Linked DNA regions of Arabidopsis thaliana. The protein of the gene in region 1 interacts with the protein of each later gene in a pairwise test. Each region holds a gene or a part of one and is shown in the gene's direction. Other genes may lie near its edges. The genes, in order: SPL13B, AT4G22360, ALC and GNC.

What was found.
Region 2: the proteins of SPL13B (region 1) and AT4G22360 interact in a two-hybrid assay, tested with the Arabidopsis thaliana proteins (one large-scale study listed by BioGRID).
Region 3: the proteins of SPL13B (region 1) and ALC interact in a two-hybrid assay, tested with the Arabidopsis thaliana proteins (one large-scale study listed by BioGRID).
Region 4: the proteins of SPL13B (region 1) and GNC interact in a two-hybrid assay, tested with the Arabidopsis thaliana proteins (one large-scale study listed by BioGRID).

Annotation. Positions count from the first base shown.
Region 1 is NC_003076.8:20,615,188-20,619,655, reverse strand, and holds SPL13B (Squamosa promoter-binding protein-like (SBP domain) transcription factor family protein), read left to right. Parts: upstream 1-1,592; 5' UTR 1,593-1,948; intron 1,949-2,117; exon of another isoform or gene 2,118-2,492; 5' UTR 2,493-2,522; coding exon 2,523-2,962; intron 2,963-3,033; coding exon 3,034-3,167; intron 3,168-3,253; coding exon 3,254-3,759; 3' UTR 3,760-3,952; downstream 3,953-4,468. Other genes in the region: SAE1B (SUMO activating enzyme 1B), read right to left, coding at 32-111, 196-391, 486-537, 732-814. UniProt on the Arabidopsis thaliana protein: Trans-acting factor that binds specifically to the consensus nucleotide sequence 5'-TNCGTACAA-3'.
Region 2 is NC_003075.7:11,805,259-11,810,641, forward strand, and holds AT4G22360 (SWIB complex BAF60b domain-containing protein), read left to right. Parts: upstream 1-1,998; 5' UTR 1,999-2,552; coding exon 2,553-3,100; intron 3,101-3,405; coding exon 3,406-3,517; intron 3,518-3,606; coding exon 3,607-3,778; intron 3,779-3,866; coding exon 3,867-4,069; intron 4,070-4,279; coding exon 4,280-4,402; 3' UTR 4,403-4,441; intron 4,442-4,533; 3' UTR 4,534-4,859; downstream 4,860-5,383. Other genes in the region: AT4G22350 (Ubiquitin C-terminal hydrolases superfamily protein), read right to left, coding at 64-231, 325-510, 584-668, 946-1,190, 1,328-1,681; AT4G22370 (uncharacterized protein), read right to left, coding at 4,911-5,063, 5,150-5,201, 5,286-5,367.
Region 3 is NC_003076.8:26,784,585-26,788,293, reverse strand, and holds ALC (basic helix-loop-helix (bHLH) DNA-binding superfamily protein), read left to right. Parts: upstream 1-1,862; 5' UTR 1,863-1,955; coding exon 1,956-2,192; exon of another isoform or gene 2,193-2,304; coding exon 2,305-2,376; exon of another isoform or gene 2,377-2,466; coding exon 2,467-2,532; coding exon of another isoform or gene 2,533-2,610; coding exon 2,611-2,676; exon of another isoform or gene 2,677-2,770; coding exon 2,771-2,962; 3' UTR 2,963-3,188; downstream 3,189-3,709. Other genes in the region: AT5G67120 (RING/U-box superfamily protein), read left to right, coding at 204-464; ICU2 (DNA-directed DNA polymerase), read right to left, coding at 3,190-3,330, 3,418-3,492, 3,563-3,682. UniProt on the Arabidopsis thaliana protein: Required for the dehiscence of fruit, especially for the separation of the valve cells from the replum. Promotes the differentiation of a strip of labile nonlignified cells sandwiched between layers of lignified cells.
Region 4 is NC_003076.8:22,988,679-22,993,346, reverse strand, and holds GNC (GATA type zinc finger transcription factor family protein), read left to right. Parts: upstream 1-1,816; 5' UTR 1,817-1,995; coding exon 1,996-2,268; intron 2,269-2,545; coding exon 2,546-3,025; intron 3,026-3,273; coding exon 3,274-3,717; 3' UTR 3,718-4,131; downstream 4,132-4,668. UniProt on the Arabidopsis thaliana protein: Transcriptional regulator that specifically binds 5'-GATA-3' or 5'-GAT-3' motifs within gene promoters. Involved in the modulation of chloroplast development, growth and division in a cytokinin-dependent manner.

The DNA of each region.
Region 1 (4,468 bases):
AACAACTAAAAGAAGGAGGTATCAACAGTACCTTAGTAGCACGAGAACTGTAGCCGATAACCACAACATCAAACTTCTCGAAAAAATCAACACCAAGTGTTGACAAATCACCTGAAATTGAAGACATAGACTCGATGTTACTAAAATCATTTGTTTCTACTAAAATTAGAGAGAAATGAAGAAAGGAGGAGTAACCTTTCTCTATTGAAACATGAACCATAGGGTTAAAATCCTTAAGTGAATCACAACAAATCTCAGCTACGGTTTTGCCTACATAAGCATTTTCATCAGGAAGAATCAAGAAGTTTGCGTTGAAGACTTCCGTTGTAACCAATCGATCATCCAACAGAGTCACACTACCTACTCCTGCCAACACAATGTTCTTACAAAACTGCAACACCAAATGGAGGAAACCAAGTAAGATGCCAACACTCACTCTACTGCAACATAGCTAATAGAGAGTCACAAAATAAAGTAAGAGGTACCTCAGCAACAGTGCCCTTAATTCCAGATACCAAAACATGAGATTTACTCAATCTGCAAGCAAAAACACAAAACAAAATTCAGAGAAGCCCTAATCAAAATTTCAACAGCTAAATTAGCTTAAAACCCAGAAAGAGATAAACTTTCACCGAGTATAGCCCAACAAGAAGAGTTTATTAGTACTCAAACGGAAAATCAATAACTTGTTGTTGCTTGAAGCCATAGAAGTTAGATTCAATGTGAAGTACCTTCTTTGAGCACCAGCTCCCCATACCCTAATTTGACGGTCATAAAGAGCAGTTTCCTGCTCGGTGAGCTCATCTCCGTCCATTCTCGTAGTGAAACCCTAGAACCGACCTCGAAGAGATGATCAAACCCGTCACGAATCTACTACAAGAGGTTTTCGGTGACTCACTCACTGAGTTTGAGATTTTTTGTTAACCGGAAAATTGCTTTCTTTTTATTTATTCAAATTACATGGTTTGTTTTGGTTTGGTCCGGTTCGTCAACTACAAATTTTTAAATTCAAAACAACTGTGCATTCAATAAATAACCAATTTGTTATTTTTTAGGACAATTTATGGGCCGAAACAAATGAAACATGGGCTTTGGACCCCAAATCTTTTAAATCCATCTGCAAAACTTTTAAAGACATGGAAGACTTTTATACGATTCTCCCTGATAATTGACAACTTGTGTGACCCGTAACTATGAAAGTCAAAGAAAATAACGCGTATCGGTGGAAAGAGAGAAGAAAAAAAACAGAAGAAGATGTTGTGTAATGCGAAGCACAACATTCACATGCTATGTTTTTTGCCGTAAACAACTAAGCATCCTATACCTCTTTCTTTAGTATCACTTTCCAATTTATTGTTTCATTTTCATCATCATCATAGTTATAAAAAAGAAAAAACCACATCTATTTTATATCACAATTTGAAAACTAATATATTTTGGATAAGGGTCAGTAAAAAGATACAAGATTTATGAGTAATTTGAAATTTTCAAAAGTATACTCTGTTCATTCATAAAAATCGGATGCTCAGAGTTCAGAATTGATGAATGGCAGAGAAAAATATAAACAAAGAAAAGTTGAAAAAGTAAGCAAAAGAACAATCAACAACAGCTGTCACTTTCCTCCATTCTTTTCTTCACTTTTTCTTACTCAAAGTTTTTAAAAAATGATATCAATAAAACCCTAAATCAGGAAAGTAAAGTTACAATTAAAGTAAGTAAATCATTTCTTAACTTAGTAATAGCTATTATCATCAATTTCTCTCTCTCTTTCCTCTTTCTCTTATTTGCATTATTGAAGTAGCAGCCACACTTGTTGTCTCCACTTTCTCTTGCTAAACTCCATCATCTTCTCTTTCTTTTTTTTCACTTGTCCCATTTTTTTATATTTTCATCTTTCTCTTTTGGAGTTTCTTCTTCTACTGACTCTACTGGTAGGTGTATGGATTTGGTAAGATTTCTCAACCTTCAAACAACAAACTTTTCTTATTCTATAGTTTTTTTTAATGTAATAACATGTTTATAATCTTACTTTAATCTTTCATTTTTATTGCATTTTTTTAATTCTTGCTTGGAATTGAGTAGACAGAAAAAAAGTTTTTTGTTTTTTTTTTTGTTTTCCTTTCTTCCCATTTTGTGGGATCTGTTCTAGTTTCTATGTTTCTGCACTTCTCATTTCGTTTTTTCAGTACAATTAGTTTGCCTTTTTTGGGATTTTTTTTTTGTTTTTTTTTCAATATCAAAATAGATCATTTTGTTAGAGCTTCAACTACAATTTCAGAGTACTCTTTATAATTGTGTTTTTGCTTTTTGCTTATGCTTTTTTATTTTCCTTCATATGTATTGAAGTTGAAGTTTAATTGAGTTAAAGATTCATGGGTTTTATGTTTACTAGTTGTTTTTGCTGTTTGTTCTTAAATTTAGAGTACCAATATCAAAAAGGACAAATCTTGATATTGCTTTGATTGCTGTTGTGTATGTATGTGTTTTTATAGTGAGAGAAGAAAAAAAAGCACAATCTTTGAATGGACTGGAATTTCAAACTTAGCTCTGGTTATTTATCTGGATTCGATCAAGAACCAGATTTATCACCAATGGATGGTTCGATCTCGTTTGGTGGGTCGTCACAGTCAAAAGCGGATTTTTCATTTGATCTAAAACTTGGAAGAAACATTGGAAACTCTTCCTCTGTTTTTGGTGATACAGAGCAAGTGATTAGTCTTAGTAAGTGGAAAGATAGTGCTTTAGCTAAACCAGAAGGTTCAAGAAGCTCGAGTTCAAAGAGAACAAGAGGGAATGGTGTTGGAACCAACCAGATGCCGATTTGTCTTGTTGATGGATGTGATTCTGATTTTAGTAATTGTAGAGAGTATCATAAGAGACATAAAGTTTGTGATGTTCATTCAAAAACTCCTGTGGTTACTATTAATGGTCATAAACAGAGGTTTTGTCAACAATGCAGCAGGTAAGATTGTGTGTTAATGGTTTAAGCTTCTTGTTGGGTTGGTGAAGATGTTAACATTTGTGTCTAATTAGGTTTCATGCTTTGGAGGAGTTTGATGAAGGGAAGAGAAGTTGTAGGAAACGTCTTGATGGACATAATCGAAGACGACGGAAGCCGCAGCCTGAACATATCGGTCGTCCTGCCAACTTCTTTACGGGTTTTCAAGGTTTCTGTTTTAAGAAAAGTTAGTTAGTTTCTTGAATCCAATAGACCGTTCCTTGTTGATGAAGAAGCATTGTTTTATGTTTTCAGGTAGCAAATTGCTAGAGTTTTCTGGTGGTTCACATGTGTTTCCAACTACATCTGTGTTGAACCCGAGCTGGGGAAATAGTCTTGTAAGCGTTGCTGTAGCCGCCAATGGTTCGAGTTATGGGCAGAGCCAGAGCTATGTTGTTGGTTCTTCTCCTGCAAAGACAGGGATAATGTTTCCAATCTCTTCTTCTCCAAACAGTACCAGAAGCATAGCAAAACAATTCCCTTTCTTGCAAGAAGAAGAAAGCTCGAGAACCGCATCGTTGTGTGAGAGAATGACGAGTTGCATCCATGACTCTGATTGTGCTCTCTCTCTTCTGTCATCCTCCTCGTCGTCAGTCCCTCATTTGCTTCAACCACCACTTTCTTTGTCCCAAGAAGCAGTTGAGACAGTTTTTTACGGGTCGGGATTGTTTGAGAATGCGAGTGCAGTCTCTGATGGATCGGTTATATCCGGTAACGAGGCTGTCCGTCTTCCGCAGACATTCCCGTTTCATTGGGAGTAGTAGAAGAAGAAGTAGGTAGATAGATAGAATCAGAAAGATCTATTTGTGTCTCTTCTCTTCTCCCTCATTTTTCAATGTTCTTTATCATCATCATTGTTCTTGTTAACACTACAAGAAATATGGACATTCTTAACACACCGAAAACGCTATAATAACGTTTACATAGCGGATTCATAAACGCTGTGTTTGCCGGAGCTATCTTAGAGTGGTCACATACAATAGCGTTTCTTGCTATGCTATTAAATGTTCACATATTATGGCGTAAAAGAAATGCTTTGATTTCCTTTGTTATTGCACAATTTTGATGTTATACTTTTGTAACTCTTTTTAAGGGCTATAAACTATTATTTTGTAGCTATATTTTATAGGCTATGATCTGATATGTTGTAGCTTTATTTTTTTGGCTATAAATCTATAAACAGCCTATAAGTTTGGGACATTTTGTTACACATTTGCAAGAAACCTCTTTTTGATCAAATTCAATATATATAAAATCTCCATACAAGTCTCAATCCAAGTCTTAACTAACATTACAATAACAAATGCCACAAGTAAAATGATATCACATCTTCTTTCTAACCTTGACTCGCTTCTCCAATTCTTCTCATAATCTTGTACAGTCTTCTTCTTCTCTCCAATCAAACTTCAAACTCGAATAGTGTAAAAATGAGTACTTGAGCAGATCTTACATGAAACTTAGAATTAACAT
Region 2 (5,383 bases), on another chromosome or scaffold:
GCTTTTTTGTAAGAAATTATATCAAACTGCATTATGTTGACATTTCAAAGGACGGACACATACCTGGAAGCACTTGTGGATGATACTGCTAGCGTCCTTTGAAGTTCTAAGATCCATGTGCAAAGTGTTGAGGAGCCACGACATAAACTCTACTGGATCTGATTGTTGGCCAATCCTAAAGCGTTTCTTGCTGGCTTTCATGACAGCTTGCAAGAACTCATGTGGACTCACCTGTTGATGCAAGGTAACTTAAATTAGCGAGGTCCTCAATAGGTGAGTGCATAACAAAAACTAAAAAAGTGAGAGGCATAAATTGAGTCAGACTTGTCCTTTAAAGTTTCGAGCATGCCAAATCTTGCGAGTTAGTTCCCCAAAACGGTGACCAAGAGGAGACTTGCAGTGCTGATAATTTTCAGGAATGAGGAAGAAATTCCTTAGAGGAGTAACTCTCATCAACGACTGGATTGTAACATTCACAAACTCTGTCTTTTGTATGTTGTTCAACCCCACCTACATATTTACAAGCTTAACCTTTAGGAGACATTAATTTCAAGATCAAGTGTAATCAAAGAGAAAGGATTACCATTCCTGGAAGATAGTCGGAGCCATCAAGAGCCCTAGACCACTGCCTATTCTTGTCAAGCTCGTTTACTTGTGCTCTACTAAACCTGTAAATGGATAGCACCGAAGCCTTCATACAAAGGAACTGAAAAATCAAAGAAAAATTGACAAAACATGAAAGAAGAGTAATATGTTCAAGCTATCATGCAAAAAAATATAAATAGATGGTAGATGATACAGAGAACTAGTAAGAAGAAACTGATTGAGATAATAGTCAAAGCAATTTTGTTGTTGTTAACTACGTGCAAAGGCTCACATGTTCACAAATCAATACCCAAAATGCAGTAAGAACTATGATGTAGTTAGTCACAAGATCTAATATACCTTGGGTTTAAAACATGGCGAATGTCATCCAAAGAAGGGTCATTGATCTCGTAACTATCAGGAAGACAATAAACCTTCTCTGTCAGAAGATTGATGTAAACGTGGTGTCCTGCTTCCAAGCTATGTGTATAAGCATGAGACTTCTGGCTTCTTCCTTGAAAGTACTTCCCACAAACAAGACACGCATACACATTCAGATTTGACAATGAGACAGAGCAAAACCTCTCGAAATCAAAATCCAACACCTGAAATCAACCATAAGATATGAGTTTAAACGCTAATCTCAAACCAGCAATATAATGAACCTAGCAGAAGCTTAAAGATCCACCATAGATTAGATACATTACAAGTACCAAACACAAGAAATTGGTCAATGATATACCTGACGATTAACAGTATCAAGATAAGGACAATCACGACGAACTTCAACATGGCGTGAATGCTTTCCTCTCCCCTTCGAAGCATCATCATCATCATCTTCGTCGTCATCGACCTCTACTTGAGCTTCTCCTTTCACTTTGTTACCATTTCCCTCTCCTTTCGCAACTACATTACAACGAGTTTGCGATTTATTCTGCTGGTTATTATCATCATCGTAAGCATTAGCAAACGGCAAAAGAGGATTGTTGAAACCTAGTGGTGGAGGTGGCGAATCAGACCGTTCCATCACTCTCTTCCTCTTCACCTCTCTCTCTTCCTCAGAAACACCATTCTTCACTTCTCTTTCACCTTTCATTCTCAAAATTTTCCCTAAGCTAAAGCTTGCTTCAAAAACCTTAGAACACAAAATCCCAGCGATTCACGAAGAATCCTCAACCAAAGAAGCAATGAACTCTTCCAAAAAACGCCAAATACTTCAAATCAGAAGCGTCGACAGTCGCGAATCTACTCGAACTTATCTCTCGTTCCCAATTTTCTCGAGAAACTTCAAAATCCGCCACAACGCAGACGTTAAACAAACAACCTATTAAAGCTTCAAGAGCCGACTCAAGTCTCACCCAGATTGATTAACTCGGTTAAAAGGCCGAATATTTATTATTGGGCCACACTGTTATAGCCCAATAACAATCTGTTCCATTTATATTACTTCTGTCAGCAGTATTCAGTAATTGATCTGTATTCACGATCCGATACTTATCGAATAACCATTAATACCCTCAAGCTTCTCGAAGCAAACTATAAACGCGTGAAAATCTACAAGGACGTATTCGACATTCCACGAGTAAAGAGATGAGTTCTGAAGTTAAAGCCAGCTGGCGAAGAAGTAAAAAAGCAAATAGATTAGCCAAAATACGACAACACCCTCTACCTACAAGCCATAGATACCATGACTCATAAGGGCAACACCGACATTTGTCATCATTTGATAAATCTAACCAACCCTGAAGGGCATATTCGTCTTTCCAAATAGTTATAAAGAGACAGAGACGAAGAAGGAGAGAGAGAAAGAGACAAGATTAGAGAAGAGGATAAGAGAGAGAAAGATATAGAGAATTTGTTGTCTTTTTTTCTTTTTCTTTTGTGGGGTATTTGTTTTTTTTTTTCTCCTTAAAAAGTTTTTTTTTTTGTGTGTATGAAAAAAAAAGCTTTGAAATTCTCTCTCGACAATGGTGTCGGACCAGGATCTAGCGAAAGGAGTCGAGACTTTGCTTCGACAATCCGACCCTAGCTCTCTCACATCGTTAAGCAGTATTGTTCAGCAGCTTGAAGCTAAGTTAGGGTTAGACCTCACGGAGAAGACGACTTTCATCAGAGATCAGATCAATATCCTCCTCCGTGCTCACCAAAACCCTTCTGCCTCCGTCGCCTCCGCTTCATCCGTACAACAATCTCACCCTCCTCCTCCGCCGTCTTCTCACCAGCAGCAGAATTTGCATTCCGGCGTCAATGTTCCTCCGATGGCGAAAGGGCATTTCACACTTAGCCATCCTTCGCAATTCTCTGTTTCTTCTCAATCACAACAATATCCTTCACATTTCGCTCTTCAGCCTCCTTATCACTCTTATGACCTAAATTTCCGGCAGCCTTATCCGGTTTACATGCCGCCGCAACAGCACCAGCATCAGCAGCAGTCTCCGCGACAACAACAATCCTCTGTGATGCTCTCACATGGCGGGAATGCTTCTCTATCTGTTAATCAAGCCCCAAAAGAAAGGTAGGGTTTGCAACATATTTCAAATGTTGGTACGTAATTTTGCTCAAGGTTGTTCCAATTTCAGTAATTTAGGGCTTTTGCTACTTTCATGGAAAACATGATTTTCCATTTTAGGAATGTCTAAATCTTTTGTCAATTTTGTTCATTTACGGGTTTTTAGGTTTTACATGCTCATGTTTAGAATTATCATCCTGTGATATTTTTAGCACATTGATTCATACAACGTTCTATTATAGTGTGATTATTTCTTTCTGATCTACCTAAATTTGGCACATCAACGAAATTTGTCAACTTTTCCTTTGCAGTGCTCCGGCTGGAACTAAAAGAAAGGGTGGTCCTGGAGGACTAAACAAAGTCTGTAGGGTTTCTCCAGAACTTGAAGTAGTTGTTGGTGAACCTGCTCTTCCTAGAACTGAGGTTATCATTGTCTTTCATTTATGATTATAATGTGTATAAGCAATTGTGGTTGTTATTTATGTGTTGCTGTGTTTGGCTTTTGGTTTTAGATTGTGAGGCAATTGTGGGCTTATATAAGGAAGAATAACCTTCAAGACCCGAGTAACAAGCGGAAGATCATCTGTGATGATGCGTTGCGTGTGGTTTTTGAGACTGATTGCACTGACATGTTCAAGATGAATAAGTTGCTTGCTAAGCATATTCTCCCGCTTGATCCATCAAGTAATGGTTAAACACAAGCGTTTTTTGCTGAGTTCCAACTGTGCTTGGTTTGTTCAAGGTTACTGACTGTTTGAGTCACTTTTGGCAGAGGACTCTGGTCAAGCAAAAAAGGCAAAAACTGAGGTGGAGACTAAGACTGAGACCACCGAGCCTATTAGTTCAACTGCTATTAGTTCAACTGTTACATTATCTGAGCCACTTGGTAAGTTCTTTGGCACTGGTGAGACGGAGATGGCAGACGAAGAGATTATTCGCCGTGTTTGGGAATACATAAAACTCAACAATTTAGAGGTAATGATTTTAATCTTGAAATCCTCTGGTTTCTCCTTATTGCTTCGAATTTTTTTCCTGTTTGCTGCTAACTAAAGCTGGTATTGTGGTTTACTCTATAAGATAATTTACAGTATAGGATTTCACATAACTTTATGTTATAGAGCATAGTGAATGGCCATAAACAAGAAAATTAAGATTTGTTTATTCTGCTTTTCAATTTTCTTTCAGGACCCAGTAAATCCAATGGCTATTCAGTGTGATGAAAAGCTCCGAGATCTTCTTGGATGTGAAAGCATTTCAGCTGTGGGGATAAATGAGATGCTGAGGCGCCATATGTACAAGCAGTCGTGATATCTTCTGGTCTGACTTAATTAACTAGGAACTACTAGTGTAAGTGAAGTTTGATTTAACAGATTATGATACTTATATATCAGCATTGTCCAAATATGGTAATTGACTTCTGTATCACAACTCTCTTGCAGGTGTGTATCTAGGGAACCTACTTATGACTCCTTGCTGTAGAACTCTGATAGGGAAGAAAAGATCCTTTTCACTTTTAACTTCCTTTAATGCTATTTTAATCTTCCGTTGGGTTCTTTGTTTTAGTTGGTTGTGTATCGACATGCTTAGGTTGATGTTGTATTTAGTATTGTACCGAAACTCTAGTGTTAAGGGTGAAACGGCGCAGATGTTTTGTATTAAACGCCATTCACCCATGAATGTCTTAGGAAAAAAAAACTCATGTGTTTAACTATGTTTTCCCTGTTGGAAATATTTGCATCCTACTGATAGAAAAATCTTATTCCCTATGCTATGGTTTTTTTTCCTGCTATCTTCCATGTTATTTGCTGTGTTTTTATCAGAATCTCAGACGTGTGACGTAGAAAGCGGCTGCAGCAAGCAGCAGAAGAACAAGTAGCAGGAGTGCCATTGCTTGTCTCCTTGTGTTTTCTGCTTGTCTCAAGAAAGTGACTATCTTCTCAGCAATACTCACTGCAAACGCCATAGTTCTCTGCATCAGAAGACAAATGAGAAACCACAATAGGTAAGTAAGTGAATCACATGATGACATAAATCTTATGAACATGACAGACTCACTAGTCTTAGGTGCTCTATGTGGAAAATTGGTTCCATGAACATCTCCACATTCCTGCATTGTTTGGTTTAAATATGGTCATGATTCACGGGTTATAATTGTTATGATAACTGAATTTAGAGTGGAACGAATACTGACTTTATCAATAGCTTTCCCTGGTACATATGGCAAATGTGGAAACTGAATCCCTTCCCCAATTGGATGTGTGACTTGTCACATTCTGCACATTACAGGTA
Region 3 (3,709 bases), 6.2 Mb from region 1:
AAATTTAATGCTTCCAGTATTGGTTAACTAGTCGGTTGCATGTGTAGTTTTCAAAGAAGTGCATTTGAATCCTAGATGTAGAAGAGATTAGGACTCTCTTTAATAAAAATTATATGTACCATTTTGGTTTCTTGATTCTAGAGTTGTATAAGCTGCAGAGTTTAGATATCGATAATTTTATGAATGAATCTTTTTTTTTCTAGGAATTATTGAGCATCACTGACGAAACAGGAGATGAACGCACTGGTTTAAGCGAGGAAGTGATTGATGAGAATCTAATAAGAAGGAAATATGAAAAGCGTAGCGACGATGAAACGAAGAGATGTGTGATCTGTCAGCAGAAATTGAAGGACAATGAAGAAGTTTCGAAACTGGGATGTGGGCATGACTTTCACTTCGGATGCATCAAGAATTGGCTAATGGTCACGAACAAGTGTCCTCTTTGCAACCGAGAAGTCGTTTAAATGTTTTATCAAGTTTGAAAGATTCCGTTTATCTCGTTGGATTTCAGTTTTTTTGTTTCTTTCTTTTGCTATGAACCATAATTACCAATATTTCCCTTTTTATCAAGTTAGAAAGATTCCATTTATTTAGATGGCAAGTTGGATTTTGATTTGATTTCTGATTTTGATTATTATCATCTATATATATATTTTTGCAGCCACTTTGTGAAATAAATTCTGGAGTTGGGATTTATTTACAGCGGCTGTCATTGGCATTTAATAATTGTTTTTGATAATTAGAAAGAAAATCTTCTAATTAAATATTTGACATTTAACAATCTTTCCAAAATCTCTCTACCTTAACTACACGATTAATTACTAAAATAAAACTTCTAAAATATTTAATATCATTTAATTACTACAAAATTATCATTTTTGATATTGCTTTTCTGCATGATTATAATCATCAAACCGTAGAGATATTTGATAACATTTAATTACTACAAAATTACAAAATATTTAGACAATAATTCATAAACATATCATAAATAAGATCACATTCATAAAATAAATGAGTTTTTTTAGAGGACGGGTTGGCGGGACGGGTTTGGCAGGACGTTACTTAATAACAATTGTAAACTATACAATAAAAATATTTTATAGATAGATACAATTTACAAACTTTTATATATATTAATTTAAAAAATAAATTGTTTTCGCGGTATACCGCGGGTTAAAATCTAGTTATTCTTATTTTTGCTATGAACCATAATTATTTTAATTACTATATTATATATATTTCCCTTTGGATGCATTAAAAAAAGGCTAATGATCAAGGACATGTTATCGTCTTTGTATTGACCATTATAATATCTGAATTTTATTTTGTGTTAAATAATCTCTCGAATAAATAATCTTTCGAAATGCATGCAGTTTTATTCACACTTTATCTGTGGACAACAACAACAACAAAAAAGAAGGAAAAAATAGATTTTTGTAATTTGTCAAAAATGGTGAAACTGTTGCGAGACCTTACTTTTCAAGTAATTGTCCATTTTCATGTTTAGTCATAATAATAATTAAATAGTCTATCAATGCTCTATCTTATCAATACTCTTATTTTTTCAACCGTTTCATTTACTGATTTTCATAATTTCATCCCCTCCTCTCAATTTAACTTATCACATTGAAAAAAACAATAAAAATGTATGTTTTTTATTTACTTGGTGGTCCAAAAATGCTTTTTTCCTTTTTTTTATTAGGTAAAAAATATAATATTATTAAATAAAATTGCTACAAAAGGAAACTGTTCACACACAGAGTGATGTGAGACACCAGATTCTGTCTATAGGGATTCGACACGCCACTCGCCTCTTTTAGAACCTCCACGCGCTTCTCTGAAGAACGTGATCTCACGCGTCCTACCTCCCCCGCCTATAAGCTTTACTACGAAAAAGCCACAGTGATAATTTTTACACACAGAGTAGAGCAGAGAGAGAGAGAGAGAGAGAGATGGGTGATTCTGACGTCGGTGATCGTCTTCCCCCTCCATCTTCTTCCGACGAACTCTCGAGCTTTCTCCGACAGATTCTTTCCCGTACTCCTACAGCTCAACCTTCTTCACCACCGAAGAGTACTAATGTTTCCTCCGCTGAGACCTTCTTCCCTTCCGTTTCCGGCGGAGCTGTTTCTTCCGTCGGTTATGGAGTCTCTGAAACTGGCCAAGACAAATATGCTTTCGAACACAAGGTATAAACTTAACTATTCTTAGCTGCAGAGATGCTTCACTTGGCTTTCCTTGTAAAAGAAAACAAAAACCAAAATTAGTCTCTTTTCTTTTTGGAATGGCTAAACACTAAAGAGAAGTGGAGCTAAACAGAGAAATTCGTTGAAGAGAAACATTGATGCTCAATTCCACAACTTGTCTGAAAAGGTTTTCTCTTTTATCTTCCTTTTAAGATTCTTAATTTAGAAAGAAGAAGAACCTTGAGATTGTAGTTGATTAGAATCTGAGTGTTAGCAGAAGAGGAGGAGCAAGATCAACGAGAAAATGAAAGCTTTGCAGAAACTCATTCCCAATTCCAACAAGGTTAATCAATCTTTGTTCGAATCAGAGATAGTGAGAAACATTGTTCTGATTGATCCGTTATCTTTTGTTTGTTTATAGACTGATAAAGCCTCAATGCTTGATGAAGCTATAGAATATCTGAAGCAGCTTCAACTTCAAGTCCAGGTTTTTTTCCTACTTACTATGATTATATACGTTCAAAGTCTGATTTGTAAATTACATCACTCAGATCATTAACTTGATTTACTGCATGATGCAGACTTTAGCCGTTATGAATGGTTTAGGCTTAAACCCTATGCGATTACCACAGGTTCCACCTCCAACTCATACAAGGATCAATGAGACCTTAGAGCAAGACCTGAACCTAGAGACTCTTCTCGCTGCTCCTCACTCGCTGGAACCAGCTAAAACAAGTCAAGGAATGTGCTTTTCCACAGCCACTCTGCTTTGAAGATAACATTCAGACAATGATGATGATCGGAATTCCTCTAGTACCTGCCAGACAGGAGTGAACAATGTTTTGAGTTTTAGCATTGGCCAGATTTCTATGTTCAGTTATAGTTATGCTAATAAGCTTTAGGAGTGAACAAAATCTGAGTAGTTTGATTATAATGATGTCTGAAGCAGATTATATATAAAAGACTAATTTACTTACATATGAGATGATTATTACAACTATCAAATGACTATGTCTGTGAGTTGCATCCATCCATAAGCACACCGGTCTCTACTACTTCGAGTGATTGCTGCTGCTGACTTAACCGCAGGTCTTATCTTCGTCATTGCTTTCTCTACTTGAATTCTCACGCCAACATCCATCTGTTATTTCAAATGGTACCGATAACTTTAGGGATATAGACAAGACAAATTGATATTAATAATATAACAAGGTTGTAAAGTAGAAACCTTTTCTAAAGAGCATTGTGTGTCTAAGATGTGGCAGAAGTATGACAGTTGCTTGTACAAGTCTGCTTCAGTGTACTGTAAAGTCAAGAGTTAGTCTGTGAAGCAATAGAGAGATAGGAGTTATAAGGTTGATGATGGTATATACCTTTCGTAAGAGGGTTCCGTTACAGTTAGGATAGTTTGGGCAAACTGTCCCCCGTTCACGTTCACCGAGTAGACGAAAGTTGGGGGAGCGGGTTGTGTGCTTGCATGACTCGTCTTCACACTGTTGAAGGCAAAATGTACAAGAAAA
Region 4 (4,668 bases), 2.4 Mb from region 1:
AAAATTGGGAGTTATATATAGATCATAATCTGATCCCATATAAAAAGCTACTAAATATAGCAGAAAATTAATATCAATTATTATTTTTTCCTTAGATCATTTAGTTAGCTTAAGAATTGTTACAAATTGATGGGCCAATTTTAAATTTTGAAAAATAAAGATGGATTGTCTCTTTGTGTGTGGGGGTCCTCAATGATCTGTATAATCTGATGAGAAGGAATTGAATAAGTTTGGCAATACTAAGGTGGGATGTTTTCTTCCTTTACCATTCTAAACCTATCTCTTCTCTCTATTCATCTCCTCTCTCTAGATCTCTGATCTCTTCTCCCTCTGCCTCGCTTCCTATCTCTCAATCATGGATCATTTCGTTCTCTATCCTCTGGGAGGATTATTGATGGATCACATGCAGTTGAAAGGATCACGAGTTACATATAGCATATATACTACGTTTTCAAGAGATCTTGAATTTGTTATGCCAATTGAGTAAACTTTGATTATCAGGAAATAAACCAACGAATCAGTGTTGGACTTATTTGAACTTTTAACAATCCATGTTATATGATTGATGGCTTATCACAACAAAGTCTATAATTTTAGGTACTAACTAACACTACTCGTAGGGGAATTTTAAGAAGATCCACTGACTTATCTGAAAGATAAACACTAACTATTTGTCATTTCTATTTATTTATTTATTTTTGACGTTTTTTCACGTAATGCTAATTGACTCTTTTTTGTTTCTCATTTTTTTTTTTTAATTTTTTATTTGTCAATAGACATATTTACAGACGCTAGTTAGATATTCATTTTAAATAAGAGAAGTTTGTTTTTTTTTGGTTGAGAAAATAAGAGAATGTAATATACTTTCTAAAATTTATCAATCAATATTTATTCTAAATTTGTTTTGACTGATACGATTTAATAAAATCTAGTAAAAATTCATAGAGCTGAAAATCTAACCTTTTTAGTGATTCTTCATGAATACAGTAGATTTTTAGTTTAACGGTATATATACATATGAAAAGAACATGAGAAATCCAAATTTTGACTTTTTTTTTTTTCTTTTTCTATAATAGAGCCTTGATGAGATCTAGGAAACCCTAGATTTGAAAAGACAACAAGTAAAAGGATCTTATTTGTTTCAATTATTATCATGATTTGTGTGGCTCTCACTCTCCAATATTTATATAAATTAGGGTTTTATTTTTAATTTTCTGTGTCTCTCTAGTGGGGTAAGGAAATTACAGATAGGGTTTGTTTTGAATGGGGCCGTCCAGTACCATTCCACATACACACAGTTTGTCTCATGTGTTTGGTTTGTATGGGTGCCATGGACTCACGTGAACCTCTAAATTAATTAATTATATATATACATATACATATATTTTCAACTTTCTTAATGTAAATATTGACCATTTACTATTACTGATCATTTCAGTTATTTATTTGTATCCATTTTCTTAAATCAATCCAAGAAAAAAACAACAAGCTTTCTTTACTAGCTCATCAAGGATTACTGGATCGCATGTCCGTTATAGCATATGCAAATAAAATTATGGATTCGAATCTCATAATACTTTATGGTCATTTGAGAAAACTAGAAGTTTAGAGCTTTTTTTTCTAAATTAGAAAAAAACATATAAAAAGGACATTAAAAAAATTAAAATCATTGGTATGACATCCGGACTTGTCCGAAAGTAGGATTTTAAAACAGTATTTTATCCATGTCTTCTAAAATTCACTGTACAAGTTGATGTATACAGAGACATAAGTACCCTAACTCTAGACTCACGTAAACCATTTATTAAACTGATATATTTTATATATGAATATAATAGAGACCATGTGTGTTTGGCTCGTGTCTCATCTCATTGCCTTTAAAAAGGATCAAACATAGTATAGCTTGGACTCTTTTTGCCGTCTATGATCTCTCTCAATCTCTCATCTTAGCTTTCTTTCTCTCTCTCTTTGTGTCTTCATTTGTTTATCTCATCAATGGATTCAAATTTTCATTACTCGATAGATCTTAACGAAGATCAAAACCATCACGAACAACCCTTTTTCTATCCTCTTGGATCCTCTTCCTCGCTTCATCATCATCATCATCATCATCATCATCAAGTCCCTTCTAATTCTTCATCTTCTTCTTCGTCCATTTCATCGCTCTCCTCTTACCTCCCTTTCTTGATCAACTCTCAAGAAGATCAACATGTTGCCTACAACAACACTTATCACGCTGATCATCTCCATCTTTCTCAACCCCTCAAGGTAAATTTACAATTACATATCAACCTTAAGTGTGTGTGTATAAATGTTATTCTTGTACGATCGTTCTTTTTAGTTTAGCAGTTAAAATCATGCCTGATCATGTAAAATTCATACAATAATATTAGTTTCTGAATTTGTATGTCGAGAATTCTATATAGACGAAATTTAATTTATCAAATAAAAAGGAGGGATCTTAAGAAGCCATATCATTATATTATTATGTACAATTCCATCTGTTGTTGATTATAAACCTTGATCGGTGATATATATATACCAGGCCAAGATGTTTGTGGCTAACGGTGGATCATCAGCATGCGATCACATGGTGCCAAAGAAGGAGACAAGACTGAAACTAACGATAAGGAAAAAAGATCACGAAGACCAACCCCATCCTCTTCATCAAAACCCGACAAAACCCGATTCAGACTCCGACAAGTGGTTGATGTCCCCAAAGATGCGGTTGATCAAGAAAACAATCACCAACAATAAACAGCTCATTGATCAGACTAATAATAATAATCATAAAGAAAGTGATCACTACCCTTTGAATCATAAGACTAATTTCGACGAGGATCACCATGAAGATCTTAATTTCAAGAACGTCTTGACCAGGAAGACCACGGCCGCGACCACCGAGAATCGCTACAATACAATCAACGAGAACGGTTATAGTAATAACAATGGCGTGATTAGGGTTTGTTCGGATTGTAACACCACCAAGACTCCTCTTTGGCGAAGTGGACCTCGAGGTCCCAAGGTAGATTAATCACACTTACTTCAATCGAAATTGTCTTGATATATGTCATACTATCTATATCTACCTAGTTTAGTTCACATTTTTAAAATTAATAGTTATATTTCAAGAATGTAGATATTTAATTTATTTAAACCTGATACATCCTTTAAACATTAATACTTTAATCAATGATACTCATAAGTCCAACATTCTATGATTTTTTTTTTGTCATCTACAGTTCGCATACTAATTTTCATTTATCATTGCAGTCTCTTTGTAACGCATGTGGTATACGGCAAAGAAAGGCAAGGCGAGCCGCTATGGCCGCGGCCGCTGCAGCCGGCGACCAAGAGGTGGCGGTAGCGCCCCGAGTGCAACAATTACCGCTGAAAAAGAAGTTGCAAAATAAAAAAAAGAGATCAAACGGAGGGGAAAAATACAATCACTCTCCTCCAATGGTGGCCAAGGCCAAAAAGTGCAAGATCAAAGAGGAAGAGGAGAAGGAAATGGAAGCGGAAACGGTTGCCGGAGATTCAGAGATCAGCAAATCTACAACTTCTTCTAATTCTTCGATTTCGTCAAACAAATTTTGCTTCGATGATTTGACAATAATGTTGAGCAAAAGCTCAGCTTATCAACAAGTGTTCCCACAAGATGAGAAGGAGGCTGCTGTTTTGCTCATGGCTCTGTCGTATGGAATGGTTCACGGTTGATCAGATCATCACAATATCCTCATTACAAAAAGGTTTATTTTAATAGTAATATATAGATTATAGTAATCATAATAATGATTGATTGTTAAATCTTGGAGTGATTAGTTTAGTTTTTGCAGTTGGTCTAATATCAGGAGTCAAAACATTTTATAATAAGAGTGTGTGAGAGTTTAATATGATAATTAATAGCTCTATATATGTTTATGGAGATTTTGGTTTTGAGTTTGTTGTGTTTTTGTTTTCCGATGGAACGAACATTAGTCACCCGATAATGTGGGTAATTCTTGTTCATTTACAAGTTTTATAGTACTGTATTGTGTAACGAGGTTGGAGAAATAATATAATCAATTAAGGGTACTTTTATTTATGTGTTTATCTTTATACAATATACATATCATCACAATTTAGCTCAATCATAAATGGATTACCAGCTTTAAAATTGTACGTCTAGTATTTGGTATCATTCAAAATTTAAATATATTTTTGAAGCTCATAATAGTAGTGTAATTTTTCTTAGAAATGCTTTAAATTGACTATTTTGGATTTAATTGCTTGTGAGAATATACTGAACACAAAATATAAAGATGAGGGTAAAGATGGTTGATATGGGATAATATGAATGCGTATATAAGACAAGAGATCATGTGTGAAGAAGATAATACGTTTGTGTTGCATTTTAAGACGACGACATATTTGCAAGCCCACATATTTTCTTCTAGTTTTTTCATTAGATTATCTAACTAATATAAGCCCTTTATCCAAAAAAAATGATCTAATTAATTTTATTTCAAACTTAAAAAAAACACATATAGGTTGACCTAAGTCTGAATCAACACATCAAAAAATACTTTTTTCTTTCGCTGCTACATTATTACTTAGGGTCATGAGTAGCTAGTACAGCACACCAATCATAAATATATCAAAAATGTAAAATGTGAAATATAATTATTT